4 linked regions of the Oryctolagus cuniculus genome follow. The protein of the gene in region 4 interacts with the protein of the main gene of each other region in a pairwise test. Links are inferred from orthologs where the notes say so. Each region holds a gene or a part of one and is shown on either strand. Other genes may lie near its edges.

Region 1 (2,992 bases), on a different chromosome or scaffold from region 4:
CTCAGAGTGCTTGGTTCAAGTCCCAGCTCCTCCACTTCCGATCTCGGCTTCCCGCTAACGCACACCCAGGTGATGGTTCAGGTTCTGGGTCCCTGCCCCCGAAGTGGGAGATCCCTACGGAGCTCCTGGCTCCTGGCTTCAGCCTGGCCCAGCCCTGGCTGTTGCAGGCATTTGGGGGAGTAAACCAGAAGATAGGAGCTGTCTCTCAAATTAAAAATTAAAAATAAGTTAAACTAAAAAAAAAAAAAAGATTTATTTGAGAGCCAGAGCTGCAGAGAGAGAGGGAGAGACCATCTGCTGGTTCACCCCCACAAATAGTCACAACAGCCGGAGCTGGAGTGATCCAAAGCCAGGAGCCAGGAGCCTCCCCCGGTCTCCCATGCGGGTGCAAGGGCCATCTTCCGCAGCTCTCCCAGGCACATTAGCAGAGAGCTGGATCGGAAGGAGAGCAGCTGGGACAGGACTTGGGATGCCAGTGCTGCAGGCAGAGGCTTAGCCTGCTACGTACGCCATAGCACCAGCCCCTAAGTTAAAACTTAAAAAAAAAAAAAAGAGGTAGCAAGAGCACTCGGTTTGGAGTCCCATCCAGGCTGTGTGACTCTGGGCTGAGGTTCCCCCTCTGAACTTCCATTACTCATCTATAAATGGGTCTCGATTGCTCCCAACATGGGGTTGCCATGAGGACTCAATGGCACCCCACGGGCGCCCGTGCAGCATGGCGTCCAGCCGCTGTAGGGGCTCCTGTAAGTAGTGGGCACTTATATTATATACACTGGGCTCTGGAGATCAGGGAGGGGGTAGCTCCTCCAGGATGTGGGGAGGGGCCGGCGGGGGAGGCATTTGCAGGCCTGGGTCGTGGTCAGGGAACAAAGAGGCAAACAGAGCCCCCAGGAGTGGCCGTGTTCTGGGCAGAGGACGCAGAGCCCCTGAGAGGCAGCGCAGGGACCCGCAAGCAGGCAGGCAACTTCCTCCCAGATCTTGGTGGGAGATCAGTCAGTTGGGGGTCATGGGCAGGGAGTGGGCCCTTTAAATCCTAAGCTCCACCTATGCTGAGAAGGGTCTCTGAGGAGAATAAATAGGGGGCGCAGCTCCTCTCTGCTCCACCAAAGCCAGCTGCTCCTCCCTGCCTGCCCCCAGCCCCAGCCCCTCTCCAGCTGCACCCCCACCCCACCCCGCGCACCTCCAGCCCGACCCAGCCCCAGGCTGGGCAGCATGCAGCCGCCACCTTTTGACATGTGGAAGGACTACTTCAACCTGAACCAGGTGCTGTGGGCGCTGATCAGGAGTCGGGGGCCGAGGCTGGAGGCCCAGGGGGTGCAGGAGCCCAGCCCCGGGGCCCCGCTGGGGCCAGGAGATGACGGGCTGGTGGGGCTGGGGCCCGGCGGGGGCCTGGGTTCCCTGTGTAACTTCTGCAAACACAACGGGGAGTCCCGCCACGTGTACTCCTCCCACCAGCTCAAGACGCCCGAGGGTGTCGTCGTGTGTCCCATCCTGAGGCACTACGTGTGTCCCCTGTGCGGGGCCACGGGTGGCCAGGCCCACACGCTCAAGTACTGCCCGCTCAACGGCAGCCAGCAGTCCCTGTACCGCCGCAGTGGCCGGAACTCGGCCGGCCGCAAGGTGAAGCGCTGAGCACTGGGAGGTGCCCCCGCCCCGCCCCGCCCCGCATCGCCCTCGGGACCTGGCTCGCTCCCCACCAAGCCCTTGACCCCTCCACTCCATCCACCCAGCTCTTGGCAACGCCACCCCTGCTGGATCCCAAAGCAGTGGGTGGGGGGCTGCTGGCAAGCCCCCCGCCGTGGAACTTTGTCCTGGTGCAGGGGAGCCCTGCCCAGGGGACTGCACAGCTTCGCGATGCTTCTTGGGCAACTCCTGCTTCCAGGGCCTGCTGGCGACTTCCCAGCCCCAGGCCCCCGTTCCTCGAAGAATTCTGGGATCCGAAGCCCTCTCGGACCTGGCCGTGCCCTCTGGGGACTTGCACACAGCGAGCAAAGCTGGCCCGGATGTGCCAGCCAGTTTCCACTTTCTTCAGCCACCTGCAGACCCACACCTCCGGCATGGACCACCTGGACTGGGGGCGGTGGGGGCCGCGCTGCCCTCCCAGGCTCATCGCTGGAGAGCCTCAGGGTGAGCTGGACGCCCTCGGCCCTCCATGATTCTCGCTCTTTCACGCTGCTCCTGCTCCGAATCCCGAGTCCCCCGTGGGTCCTCTCCCCTGGCGACAGGTGCGTCTCCCCGCCAGTCCCACCCTCCCCTCCATCACCATCCTCCCAGCGTTAGACCCGTGGAGCTCCCACCAGCAAGGGGTCTGAGTGTTCAGATGGGAATGGCGACCGCCTAGGTTTTATTTTGGGGGCACAGACGAAAGCCCGTGAGATGTTCAGTTGTTCAGTTTGCGCTCAGGGTCGGGGACCTGGGTGTCAGGCGCTAGTGAATAAAGAATATTTCAAGTTGTCTTTGACATCTGTCCGTTTCCACCTCCTCACCTGCTGGCTGGCCGACAGAGGTGGAGAGCAGTTTTAGCCCCGGCTCTTGGAAAGTGGGGAGGAGGGGCGGGGACAGCTCGGGGCCGTGGGTTCCTCTCCTGACCCCCGTGACTGGGTCCCAGGTTCCTCCTCCGCCTCTACCTGGACCCCAGATCCTGTGCCCTGTCTGTGGGCTGCCCTCCCACCCCTGTGAGGCCACGGGACTTCCGAGACCAACTTCCTGGGAGTTGTTTAAGCTTGGGTGCCCAGACCCCACTGGAGAGATGTTGAAAAGCGTGGGTTCTGCCCCCAGCACACGTAACACAAAGTGCATAGCCTGTTATTCCAGCAGGCTGCATTTATTTTTAACAACAGTTGTTTGTTTAAACATTGAATTGTCAATTTGTTTTTATTTCTGTGAAAGGGAGGGAGGGTGGGAGGGGGAAAAAGAGAGAGAAAGAGAGAATATCTCAGCTCAGTAGACTAATCCTCCGCCTATAGCACCGGCACACCGGGTTCTAGTCCCG
Region 2 (4,056 bases), on a different chromosome or scaffold from region 4:
CTGAGGACTCTGATCCCTCACACAGGGCCCCAGCTGACTCCTAATCTCCTGCAAGAGGCTGGTCTGTGTTGGCTCCTCACCAGCTGCCGCGAAGGCCCTAACCTCAGCCTGGCCCCCAGCCGGCGGCCCGGGGCCTCCACAGCAGCGTTGGGAGTTACAAGCCAGGTTCTAGCGGCCACAGCCATCCCGCCAGTCTGCTGGTCGTTGAAGAGAGCTCTGAAGGGTTCACCGGAGATGACACCCAGGCACCCAGGCCAAGCTCCAAGGCTCAGCTGCCTACTATGGAGGAGGTCTCTGGCCGCAGCACCACAGATACACACACCCACATTCACACAGGGGAGTCAAGCAGAAGCCAGATGGGGCTGCCCCCAGCCACTCCCACCAACTCCAACATCCTGGCCACCAAGATTGCCTCAGTAGGCAGGGAGGTGCCCAAGTCTGTGACCCACAAGTATCAGACACCCACCGTCTGACCACCCACGAAAGTCTCCTGTTCAGCAACAGGGCAACCAGGACAGACCGAGCCCTAGGACACACGAAAGGCCTGGACCTCGGCAGAGACCCCCAGGGCAGTAGAGACCTCAGACCAGACAACTTCAATAGCATAAGACAACACAGCAGGAAGGGGACTGAGCTATGGGTAGGAAGCCAGGGGCTGGGAGGGTGACCTGGTCAGCCAGGCAGGGGAGGGTCCTTCCTCAGCCACGGGGGGGGGGGGGGGGGGCCTGGGGCGTCGCAGGCGGCAGGCTGACTGCTCAGCAAGCACAGACCTGGGCAGCTGAGCCCCCGGGAGGCAGGTACTGCCGCACCACACCGCCTGCCCCAATGCTGCAGAGACGCCTACAGCCTGAGAGCTCAACCAAGAGGTGCAGGGGCCATGCGGTACCCCCAAGGACAGCCCATCCCCTTCAGGGACTCACAACCCACCCCAGGAATGGGCCAGCGGCAGAGGCAGGGGAGCCCCCATTCAGACCCCCAGGAAGGGCAGCCTCCAAGTGGGGTCCTGCAAAGAGAAACTACCCTCAGGGGAAGCCTGAGCCTGCCGGTCAAGGCCCCCACGCCTCCACTCCATGCACACACACTTCCCACATGCACACACCAACACGTGTGCACACACACACCTCTCGTTGCACCCACTCCTTGTTACGGGGAGCAGCATCACTGACACAGAAACCTGGCACCCCCCCAGCTCGCCTGCCTCCCCACTGCACTTCCCAAGCCAGCCATCGCTGGGACTGAGGGCAAGGCACCAGCAGCAGCAGCAGGGTGCCAGGGAAGGCGGGTCCCCCCACCCCCGGGCGGGGTGGGGGGGTTCAGGAGCCATCCGCGGTGGAGGTGAGGCAGAGCCAGTACCTGAGGACAGGAAGCCCGCACTCACCTGGAACGGCGGCAGCCGAGGCCTGCAGACTGCCCCGCTTCTTAAAGGGGTACTTGGCCTTGGGCTTGCCGGGGCCAGATGGATAGGATGCCATGGCTGGGGCCACGGCGACAGCGGGGGAGTCTGAGCCGCACCGGCTGGGGCCTGGCTCTGCCACATCCAACCCCTTCCTCCGCCCCGCCCCCAGCGGGAGTGACTGATGCAGGAAGCAGCGCCCCGCAGGCGGAAGAGGCCCTGGCCACGATTTCTGATGTTGTCTAGGCAACGTCGGCGAGTGGGGCCTCCATCCCGGCCCCTTAGCCCTCGAGTGACGCGACTGACGGCGGCCGGATCTGGGGGGCGGGGTGGAGACTACCAGATCGGGGAGGGCCGGCCTCCAGCTCGCCACTAACCGCACCCACACCCCGCCACCCCCCACCCCCGCTCAGGAAACCTCCCCCCGCCCCGGCCAGGGCTCCAAAGTCCAGGCTGGCTGGTCCAGCCAGCCGGAGAGCAAAAGACCGCCGTAAAGAGGAATCCGGCCGAGCTCGCCTAGTTCAGAACCCACTCCTCGCAGGGCAAGGCGGGGCAGGCGCGCTCCGTCCAAAACCCGGCGCCTCGAGGCGAGGCTCTGCCCCCTCTGCTCCTCCACCTGACCCCCGGCTCCAGGGGCAGCCCAGCTCACGGAGGAGGGAGTGGAACGGAGAATCCCAGCCCAGGAGGGAGGGGCCTGCCTTGGGAAAATTCCACGGACCGGCGGAAGCTACCTCCCAGGAAGCCAGGGGCTCTTCTGGGGTCTGGGGAAGGGACGCCCCGCCACCCCACCCCCAGCCGCTTCTGACTTTCCCTTCCACACTCGCTCCGCTTCCCCAGCCTCTTCCCGAGGTCCTGCAGATTGTGCCAAGACCCCCACACTCTTGTCACCCTGGCCACAGCACCTCTGAGTCCAGAGACCCTCGCCCCAACATACGCGCACACACTTACCCGAGGCCATGCTGCCTGAATCCCGAGGGGCACTGGGGGAGCCGCCCGCGAGGGTCTGCACAGCCGGGAAGCCCGGGTCGTGAGGGAGGGGAGAGGGGCTGGGCCCCAGACCCCGGCCAAGTCGCTCCAAAGGGCCGTGACCTGGCACTGGGTTGGGGAAAGTAGGGCAGTTTTTCAAAATTTCCAGCCGGCTGCGGGCGAACCGCAGCCGACCTCGGCCGACCGAGTGGCCTCGGGCAACCCCGGCGTCCCGACCCCCCAGCCAACGCACTGGAGAAGCGGGCAGGCCACGTGCTCCCCCAGCCAGCAGGACCCGGAACTCGTCCGGGTTTCTCGCAACACGCCTTGGGTATGTGGCGCCGGACTCCCGTGGCTGGCCAGAGGGGAACCGCGCAACAGGTGCGACCCCACCCGAACCCCAGCGGCGCCGCGCCAGTCTCCGTGGCCCCAGGCCCCGCGGCCCCGCCCCCGGGCTGGCCCCGCCCCGCCCCTTTTCCCGGGCGCCACGTGGGCTGCGAACTCCGCGGTGGGCCTGGCCCGGCGCCGGGTGGGGGGCGAGCTGTGCGCGCCAGCTTCCTCCTCCGTAAGGCGGGGGACGGAGCGGTGACAGCGCCGCGCTCTGGGGGTAAGCGGCGCTGGGCCCAGCGGGGGCCTAGGAAAGGGTAGCCGTGGTTAGCGGCTCGGGAGTCACTTGAAACCGAAGTGCGGCCCCTCGGGCGACGGCGTCCTCACCTGGGCCGCCCGTTCGGCTCGGGCGAGGGTGTGTCCTCCGATTCCATCTTCCCCCTCCCACGCTAACTTCTGTATTTGCCGGTTAGGCTCCGTAGCCCGAATTCCTGGGTTGGAATTCAGGACTTCGATCTCCTCCCTGGCTACCTAACTGCTTCGGTTTCTTGTGCTTTATATGCTGGTTGTTTAAGGTGAATGAGCTAACATAAGATAAGTGTGTATAACTGTGCCGGCCTGTAGTTACCCCTCAGTGTTCCTGCATCATCACTTCATTGGTTTGGCCTTGGACTTGGTTCCCAAGTGACACGCTCACGAGTTGATTCACCTTGCAGCCCATAAATTAGTGGAGCTGAGCTGTCTTGGGCACCGCAGGCACGCTGTCCGGCCGGCATCCTCACTGGGGAGGGGCACAGGAAGTCCCTAAGCGCTCACTGAAAGTCATTGTTATCCTGCCCCTGTGGGAGCCCTTTGCCCCCCACACCCAGCTGTGCTAACGCAGTCTGTCGGGTCCCTCCCAGTTCTCACCTCCCACGCAGCCAAGTTCCTTCCCAAACTCTGCCTCCCTCTGCCCTCCCCACACTGGATTCTGGACCCTGAACCCCATCCTCTGCCTGCACCTGGTGTCGCCTCCACTGATCCCTTGTCTCTTGCCCCACGCTTGGAACAAATTTAAACTCCATGGCTTTCGTAAACGTAGGGAGGAAATGCCTTCACCTTACAAAGAAAAAGAGAACCAGGAGATACCATGTTCACCAATCAAAACGGCAAAGCCTAAGAAAAACATATCAATGCAGGCAAGGGGATAGTGAAATGGGACACAGACACACACACACAGACTACCGGAGGCTATAAACATTGCTATTTGGTAGTAGATAATCAAGAATCTCATAAAGGTTCTTAAATCTGACACAGCTCTCCACCTCCAGGAATTTAAAAAAAAAAAAAAAACATTTATTTATTTGAAAGGCAAAGTGACTGAGAGAGGG
Region 3 (4,162 bases), on a different chromosome or scaffold from region 4:
TGGGCTCCTGAGAACACCATGCTCCAGCCACCAAGCGCTGACCAACCTCAGAAACACGGCCGGCCGAGGGTGAAGGGCAGCCCCCATACCCCAGGATCCTAGTGGCTTGCTGCCCCACAGGGGAACCTGTAGAGGTGGGAGTGGGGTTAAGGCCCTGAGTGTCATCAAGACAGAATTTTCCTTTTTTTTTTTTAAGATTTATTTTTATTTATTTGAAAGGCAGAGTTAGAGAGAGACAGAGATCTGCAGCTTCACTCCCCAAATGCCCACAACGGCCAGTGCTGGGCCAGGCCAAACCCGGAAGCCAGGAGCATCTTCCGGTCTCCAAGCCCTTGCGCCATCCTCCACTGCTTTCCCAGGCCATAGCAGGGAGCTGGATACGAAGTGGAGCAGCCAGGACTCCAACTGGCACCCACGTGGGATGCCAGCACTGCGGGCGGCGGCCCCAAGGCAAGCCCAGCCGAGTCTCCGCACCAGGAGGGGCACCACCCCCATGACAGTGTCTCAGTGCCCACTTCTCACCAAGTCCAGAAAACATGGCCAGCTCCCAGGTGAGGGCAGCCAGGGCTGGGCGGGCTCAGCGCCTCCTCCCCGGAGCAGAGCACCAGTCATGGGTGCTGGGCCCGCAGGGTGCTGCTCTAGGCTCACGCCACGTTTCAGCTGAGCCTGAGCACCCTCTCCAGGGTTTGTAACCACAGGGCAGGAGGGGCGATCACCCAGGCCCAGGCCTACGAGACCGCCTCACAGTGTCCCTGACCCCGGCTGGGAGCCAGGCTCTGGGGAGACAGGAACTTGAGGACAGCGGAGCTGAGCCCCGGGCGGCGCAGACACAGCAGCGGGGCTGCAAGGACAGGGCAGCGCCGGCCACTTAATCCACCCGAACCAGGCCTGGGGTGACAGCCAGAGCAGCTGCCCCAGGCAGGCCAGCTGCAGACCACACACACCCTAACCCAGTTAACCGGCTTGGACACATAAGGCAAAGTGGCCAGAACTGGCAGACGGGTCCCAAGGCCTGTGGCCATGGATGAGCCCAGGGGATGCTCAGGGCCAGCCTGCTGCCAGGAGACCCCAAAGCCAAGGCTGAGGATCAGCAAGGACAAAGTCCGGTCCTGCCCAGGCTGCACGGGCCAGGCGAGCTGCGTTTACCCCAGCCTCTCCTCTCCTGCTGACCAGGTTCTAGAAACAGAAGCCAGGAAACTCACGGTGTGTGACACGTCACACCTGCTCCACTGCCCTCAGGGTGCTGCGGGCGAGAGCCCACGAGAGCCCAGCCCGCCGGAGCAGGTGCCCAAGTCCTGGACACAGCAGCCCTCAGACCACTGACGGGCAGGCGGCCACTCTCCTGTCGCAGAGAGCTCATCACCTACCTCCAGGGCTTTGGGGAGACGCGTTCCCCCAGGCTGCCTGGCACAGCCCCATCCTGGTGGCTCAGCGGCTCTGGCTCAGGCCCTGAGCTGGCGTCCTCCTGTCACTCTACAGTCCACCGCCTTCGAGGCTGGCCCGAGACAGACCTAGAGGCCCAGCAGCATCTCTGGGTACCACCTCACTCCGCTGACAGCCTGGCCAACGCAGCGCCCGACACAGCCCCTGAGCCAGGGCTGAGCAGGCAAGGTGCAAGTCCCTGCCCCCAGGCCCCTCCTGGTGTGCCCACCGCCACGGCAGCCAGCCTGAGCAGCAAGAGCGTGACAAGGACCTGCCACTGCAGCCCAGGGACAGCCCACGCCCAACCGCCCTGGGAAGAGGAACACAGGGGTCCTCTTCGGGAGGGGCTGCGGGGTAGGCCACGCAGCCTGGGCCCTCTGCCCCAACGTGTCTGCTGCTCACGCCGCACAACAGAGGCCCGAAGCCCCCCGACACCCCAGCTGCGGCCTGAGCTCGCACCTCCGCACCGTTCCTGCCCACGGGGCCCGGGGGCCACACCAGCCTGGTCAGCCCTGCGGGATGGCAAAGGGGCCCCGAAAAGGCCAAACGACGCCTCCCACCTCGGGGTCCCCTCTCCGCGCCCCCGCCAGCCCTGCTCCTGCGCTTCTAACAGGTGAGCAGGTTTTTCTCTCGACATCCTCGCCACGTAACCTGCAGGCCCAAACGTCAAAGACGAAGCAGGGACCCCGGCCGCCGCCTTCCCCCGACCGGCTCCCGTCGCGGGCGGACGCGCTTCCTGTCCACGCCTCGCCACGGTCCGGCCGGCGCTCGCCCCGCGCCGCGCCCTGGGCGAAGCGTTGGCACCTGCGGGTGCGGGAAAGCGCGAAGCAGGCGCGACGGGCGGCCGCACGGTCACCTCCGCAGCCGCGACAGCGGAGGGCGGGGAGCGCGGCGGGGACACCCGGGAGGCGGAACGACCCCCGACCGCGCCGCCGTGCCGCCCCTCCTCACCTGGCTGGCAAATCCCCTCAGGTGCGCCATGGTCCGCGCCGCGCTCCGCCCGGCCGTCGGCGACCCCGGCGCGCTCGCGTCAGTCCCCTGTGGGGACGGCGGCAGTCAGGGCCCCGGGAGCGCCGCCCGGCCCCGGCCCCGGCCCCGGCCCCCGCCCCGCCCGGCCCCAACCGCCCGGGCGCGGCCCCGCCCGGCAGCGCGCCCACCTCCGGGGGGCTCCATCCCGGCCTCCCCCGGCCCGCGCCGCAGCGCCCGCGAAGGCTCCCACCCGCAGCCTCCGTCCGCCCGGGAACGCCCGGGCTGGCCCGCGTAGCGGCGGCGGCGGCGGCGGTAGCCGAGAAACCCCAGGGGCAGCGGAGGCGGCGGCGACGAGGGCGGCGAGGTCGTCGTGGCCGGCGCGCGGCTCCCTGGGACTCCGAGTCCCGCTGTCCACCCCGCGCCCTGGACCCGCGGGCGCCGGACTACAAGTCCCGGCAGGCCGCGCGACGGGCGGCATCGAGGCGCCGGCGCTGGACTGCAAGTCCCGGCAGGCCTTGCATCGAGCGGCGTCGAGGCGCTGGTGCGCCGCGGGGCCCGCCGGGACTGCGAGTCCCGCTCGGAGGGCCTCGGGCTGCTTCTCCGGCCAGGCGCCCCCGCACGGCGTGCCTAGGGCGGGCAGGCGGACGCGCGTGCGATCGCCGTGAGGCCGCTACTCTGCTGGTCCCGGTCAGCGTGCGGCGCTGGAGGCTGGGCGCTGCGTTCCGCCACTCTGCTCGTGAGCGGGCCGTTCCGGCCCTAGGGCCCTGCAGGGAGCCCACTGCGAGCCCTCCGCTCCCGGCCGGCCCCTCTGGGCGCCCGGCCCTGCCCTCTGCGCAGCCCTTCGCGGGGTCCTGACTTGACGCGGTCCGCGGCGGGCACTGGGAGGTGGCGTGAGGGGCCGTGTGGCCTGTGTCGTCACCCCTGCTCGTTTAGCAGCACCTGGGGGGACCTTGCGGGCCGGGGTCCTGCCCCGGCCGCCGTCCGGCGGGGTCACGCAGTGGGCTTGAACTTGGCCGCATCTGTGCTTGTTCTCAGCTCACTGCCTCGGCCGGCTTCTGGTATGTTCCATCGTGTCTGGTGAGAAACTGGACCGGCGAGGACGTGAAGCGGCTGAGAGTGCTCTGCCAGGGACGTCTCCGCCCGGTTTGGGTCAGGGTCTCAGGTCCAAGCCAAAGAAATCTTAACGGAGCGGATCCCAGAGTTGAAAGATTGCAGCTCTGAGCTCTTCGTAAGGGGACCGCAAGGAACGGTGGGCGAGGCAGACCGTCCGAGATGCGGTCACAGTCAGCGCTTCTCACCGCGGAGCAGGGCCGGAACGCGGGAAAAGCCCAACAGCCAGGAGCACCCATCAGGGTGAGAGAGAGAGAGAGAGAGAGAGAGAGAGAGAGAGAGGTCTTCCTTCTGCTGGTTCACTCCCCAGTTGGCTACAACGGCCGGAGCTGCGCTGATCCGGAGCCAGGAGCTTTCTCCAGGCCTCCCAGGACTTGGGCCATCTTCCACTGCCTTCCCAGGCCACAGCAGAGAGCTGGATTGGAAGAGGAGCAGCCGGGACTTGAGCCGGCGCCCACATGGGATGCTGGTACTGCAAGCGGCAGCTCTACCCACTATGCCACAGCACTGGCCACTAGACTTTATTTATTTAAGGGACAGAAAGCTCCCATCCACTAGTTCATTGCCCAGATACCCGCAACCGCCAGGACTGGGCCAGGCTCAAGGTGGCTGGAAGCCGAGAACTCTGGGCTGCCCATGTGGGTGTCAGGGCCCAACTACA
Region 4 (4,179 bases):
TGTGACCGACACTTAGTGAGACAGCTAACGAAGACAGAAAGCCACCGATTCTTAGGAAGCAGCAATAATGTGTTTGGACTTGAGCCCTGCAAAGGCGGCTAATGGTTGTGTTCTCCTCCCTCCAGCTGGTGTTCTTTAACATCCCCTTGATGGCCTACCTGTGTTGGAGCTTGCTGCAGCGGTGCTTTGGTCACAACTTCAGGTCTCATCTCCATCAAGGAAAACACTTGAAAATCATACCTGTGCACCTACTTATGTTCCTGCTGTACGTCTGGCAGCTTTATTCCTGCTACTGTCTTCACGTGACTCACGGCACTCTAGCTCTTTTATTCTCCCCTCTGCGGACCTGGTTGTCACTGCTGACTCCTCTTCTCGTTCGTTATGTGTGGAAACTGAACTCCACTGAATTTGGAACCTTCATGGTGCATTTTAAAAGCCACCTGAGCTCCTGAGGGCCATGTCTTGCCACTGGCAGCTGGCTGGAAGTCCAGCGTCTGCACCTGTAGCCAGGCCCCCGCTCCAGTAGCAGGTGGAGGGCCAGCACTGGTGTGTGAGCCTCAGGGAGCTGCTGCTCTTTGGACACTTGGATGTTGCAGGGATTATCCACTATTGATTCCTACAGAACAGACTGCAGAAAAGTCTCTAAATAATGACTTGATTCCTTCCTTCCCTGGGGAGGCAAAGGATTGATTTATCTTTGTGAAGAGAAAATCCTAATCTAGGAGCTCCACAGGGCAGGGTCTGGGTGTGTGAGTGGGGGCATCTGAGGCCCCGTGTGTTTTTAAGATTATCCCATGTAAAGCACCTAGTACCGCTGCCTGGAACTCAGCAGCTGTCAAGGGTGCTGTTAGGGGCAGGGAAACTGTGGACTTTGGCCCAACTCTGACTACCATTAAGATATTAGTTCCCAGTCCTGTTTGGCCCCCGGGTTATGAGCTTTTGGCCCTAATTGGGGGTGTTTTCAATTAATTGACTTAATGAATGAATAAATACCATGAGGGCAGGCATTTGGCCTAGTGGTTAAGGCACCAGTTGAAACAGCCCTGGCTGTGCCCCCTCTGGAGTCCAGCTTCTTGATAATGCACACCCTGGGAGTCAGGGAGTGATGGCTCAAATGGTAGGCCCCCTGCCACCCATGTGGAAGACCCGATTGAGTTCCCTGCTGCTGGCTTGTGGGTTTTGGGGAGTGAATCAATGGATGGGAGCATGCTCCCACTGTGTCCCTCTCTGTCCCACTGTCAGCCTCAAATAAATAAATAAAAATTTAAAGCAACAAAAACCATAGTATTTTCTTTAAAAGAAAAAGACCCGGGACGTGAGCATTGCTTTGCTGTCCAGCCTCTGGAAATGGGTGGTGCTTGTTTGGGGAAGGCTTGGCCGGGTCTGGGGGCGTGGCCTCAGGGAGGCGGAAGGGGCGGGGCAAGCGGCTTGTTGCCGGAAACGAGCCTAGTGGGACGACTGCTGCTCTGCGTCTCTGGCAGCGCCTCCGGCTGCCTCGGTCTCCGGGGTCACCCGAGCGACTGCGATGGCGAGCGCAGCTGCACCTGCGGCCGCAGTGCCCACCCTGGTTCCGCCTTTGGAGCAGCTCCGGCACTTGGCGGTGGAGCTGCGACTGCTCCTACCTCGAGTGCGGGGTGAGCTGACACAGGGGGGCGGAATGGCAAGTGCGTTCTTGGGGTGAGGGAGAGGCCAGGCTGGCCGGCGACCGGAGGCGGAGCCCCTGGCCGAGGCCGTGGTTCCGCTTACCTGAGCTTTTCCTTTCGCCACCGTCTGGCCCTCCCATGCCATACCCACAAGTCGGCGAAGCCCGCGGCACCGTCGAGGAGTTTAATCGGGAGACGTTCTGGAGAAGATTCAGTGAGTGCCCCTGGCGCCGGGGCCCCCATCTTTCACCCTCGTCAGCGTCCCCGTCCTTTAACCTCCCGGCCGCCCGTAGGAGGCGACTCCGTCCCCCAGTCGCATCCTCTCTGTGGGAATACCCCACTTTGCCCATCGCTGGCACCAGAAAGGTTGACATGTAAACCACTGACTCTGAGAAGTGTTTTGCTAGGCCTCGGGCGGAGAGGGGACGCACGCAGCTGCTCCGCTTATTAACCTTTTGGCTCTGCCTGCCCCTCTGCCACCCCGCAGATGAGGCGGCTGTGAACGTGTCGAGGGAGGCCACGACTCTGACCACTGCCTTCTCTCGGCTTCCGCTGCCGTCTCCACAGGTGGGCTGCCCTTTCTTGGAGTCCTCGGACTTTCTTTTTACCTTTTACAGTCAGGCCAGGAAATGTGTTTTTCTCGGACGGGATTACAGTTCTTACCTCGCAGGATTGTTGTGAAGTGCGCTTTGGGGCGCGGAATAGGCAGGTCCTCTGACTTTGAATTTGCAGTCCGGCCTAGGTTATTTCCTTTCTGATATCTTTTTAAAGCACTGGTTATTCGCTAGATGTTTTCACCCTGACAGATGAGTAAGTAGGCTCAGAGGCTCAGGTTAACACACATAAGTGATAGAGCTAGAATTTAAATCCACCTGTTGTCTCAGCTACTCCTGTGCCACATAAAACCCTTTTATATTAGTACTTTTCCATTCTATATTTAATCAGTAACTTTTAAATCATACTATAGTAATATAAAATTCAAAAGATATCAAATATAAGTGTGCTAAAATGTTTCTTACCACCCCATTCCTCATTTTTGTCTCCCTTCCTGGTTACTTTTCCATTTTTTTCCTATATAGTGTATTCTATGTGTATATACATTTATGTGTAAATGAGCTGCTTTTTATACAAATAATATGATACTACTTTGTTCTGGACATTCTTTTTTTAAAAATTGGCAACATAGTTTGGAAATCAGTGTGTCTGTTCTTGATGCGCATACACAGTTGCTCAATTCTTTGTCGTGTCTGCACGGTATTCAACAGAGTGAATATTACCATAATTTAACCAATATTCTGTGGACATTTAAACTTCTTCCATCTTGTCAGTATTATAAATCGTGAATTGCATACTACAATCTTTGTATGCCTGTGTACCTCAGTAGAAAAAAAATCCCAGAAGTGAAATTGCTAGAACAGAGAATGTATACATGGATAATAATCCTTTATTGTAAGACTGATGAAAATAAACATATTGGTTGTGAACAGGTATGCCCTATGCTGCTGACTCCATTTTTTCTAGAGCTATATATACTTAATTTGGGCGTGAGGTTATTTCAAAATGACACATTCATTGCTTTCTTTGATTTTCATAGTAGTTTTGGTCTCTTTTCGATCTGTGTATCCAGGTGTCTTGAAATGATATAAATATCTTTTTGCTACATATACCTACAATAAAAACTCTGTTTTCTCTGCATCCTTAGAGATTTTGATGAGTAAGCAAGAATTGAATTGTATAATATCATTTGAAACTGGAGTACTAATATGATCTTTATTTTCTTGTCTGCTGACTCCTTTCAGGTATGATTGGGGTTTACTGCTAAAACTCACAGCAAGTACTGTGAGGAGCCAGCACAGAAATATTTTTCTGTACTTGCTAAGGACTGTAGTTTGCTCATAGATGGGTGAAAAATTAGAATTGGGTTTTATTATATATATATATGTATATTCACAAATATATGTGTTCAAATGTGTGTGTATTTAAATGATAATCACTTTCTAAAATCCCAACACTTCATTCCTACAGATGGTTGACTTGAATGGACTGATATCTTTTATAATTTTATGTGCTTTGATGTTGAAACAATGTCAAATTGCATCTCTCTAAACATTCTCAGTCACTGCACTTACTTCATCCCAAACTGGGAGCAGTTTGCTAACTGGTACCAGTGCGAGCCAATGAGGACAAGGAAGATGAGAGAGCCAGTGACCATTTAGAAGGAAAACAGTCAACACTAAACATGCTAGTTATGTTCACTTAAAGATTGTAATTTTGCTAAAAGAGAGAGCTGGTTAATGATCTAATGCTGGGGGTTGGCAATTTTTTTCTGTGAAGACTCAGTAAAAGGGGCTGGTATTGTAGCATAGTGGGTAAAGCTCCCTCCTGCAGTGCTGGCATTCTATATGGGCACCGGTTGGAAACTCGGCTGCCCCACTTCTGATCCAGCTCCCTGCTAATATGCCTAGGAAAGCAGCAGCAGATGACTGAAGTGTTTGGGCCTCTGCCACCCATGTGAGACACCTGGAGTAAGCTGCTT

Evidence for each region. The genes of interacting proteins can lie anywhere in the genome.
Region 1: the proteins of CCNDBP1 (region 4) and NANOS2 interact in binary tests that used the Homo sapiens proteins (3 or more experiments, as listed by UniProt). The two-hybrid records come from large-scale screens. The link is inferred for Oryctolagus cuniculus from reciprocal best matches to the Homo sapiens genes CCNDBP1 and NANOS2.
Region 2: the proteins of CCNDBP1 (region 4) and AMPD2 interact in binary tests that used the Homo sapiens proteins (3 or more experiments, as listed by UniProt). The two-hybrid records come from large-scale screens. The link is inferred for Oryctolagus cuniculus from reciprocal best matches to the Homo sapiens genes CCNDBP1 and AMPD2.
Region 3: the proteins of CCNDBP1 (region 4) and STK25 interact in binary tests that used the Homo sapiens proteins (3 or more experiments, as listed by UniProt). The two-hybrid records come from large-scale screens. The link is inferred for Oryctolagus cuniculus from reciprocal best matches to the Homo sapiens genes CCNDBP1 and STK25.

What each region holds. Positions count from the first base shown.
Region 1 is NC_091449.1:11,135,455-11,138,446, forward strand, and holds NANOS2 (nanos homolog 2), read left to right. Parts: upstream 1-1,161; 5' UTR 1,162-1,212; coding exon 1,213-1,632; 3' UTR 1,633-2,492; downstream 2,493-2,992. UniProt on the Homo sapiens protein: Plays a key role in the sexual differentiation of germ cells by promoting the male fate but suppressing the female fate. Represses the female fate pathways by suppressing meiosis, which in turn results in the promotion of the male fate.
Region 2 is NC_091438.1:60,791,596-60,795,651, forward strand, and holds the start of AMPD2 (AMP deaminase 2), read right to left. Parts: upstream 2,801-4,056; 5' UTR 2,614-2,800; coding exon 2,613-2,613; intron 2,597-2,612; exon of another isoform or gene 2,489-2,596; coding exon 2,342-2,488; intron 1,676-2,341; exon of another isoform or gene 1,538-1,675; coding exon of another isoform or gene 1,373-1,537; intron 1-1,372. UniProt on the Homo sapiens protein: AMP deaminase plays a critical role in energy metabolism. Catalyzes the deamination of AMP to IMP and plays an important role in the purine nucleotide cycle.
Region 3 is NC_091434.1:279,021-283,182, reverse strand, and holds the start of STK25 (serine/threonine-protein kinase 25), read right to left. Parts: upstream 2,801-4,162; 5' UTR 2,642-2,800; exon of another isoform or gene 2,580-2,641; intron 2,461-2,579; 5' UTR 2,404-2,460; coding exon 2,374-2,403; intron 1-2,373. UniProt on the Homo sapiens protein: Oxidant stress-activated serine/threonine kinase that may play a role in the response to environmental stress.
Region 4 is NC_091443.1:66,134,665-66,138,843, forward strand, and holds the start of CCNDBP1 (cyclin-D1-binding protein 1), read left to right. Parts: upstream 1-1,379; 5' UTR 1,380-1,525; coding exon 1,526-1,634; intron 1,635-1,797; coding exon 1,798-1,857; intron 1,858-2,130; coding exon 2,131-2,210; intron 2,211-4,179. Other genes in the region: TMEM62 (transmembrane protein 62), read left to right, coding at 126-452. UniProt on the Homo sapiens protein: May negatively regulate cell cycle progression. May act at least in part via inhibition of the cyclin-D1/CDK4 complex, thereby preventing phosphorylation of RB1 and blocking E2F-dependent transcription.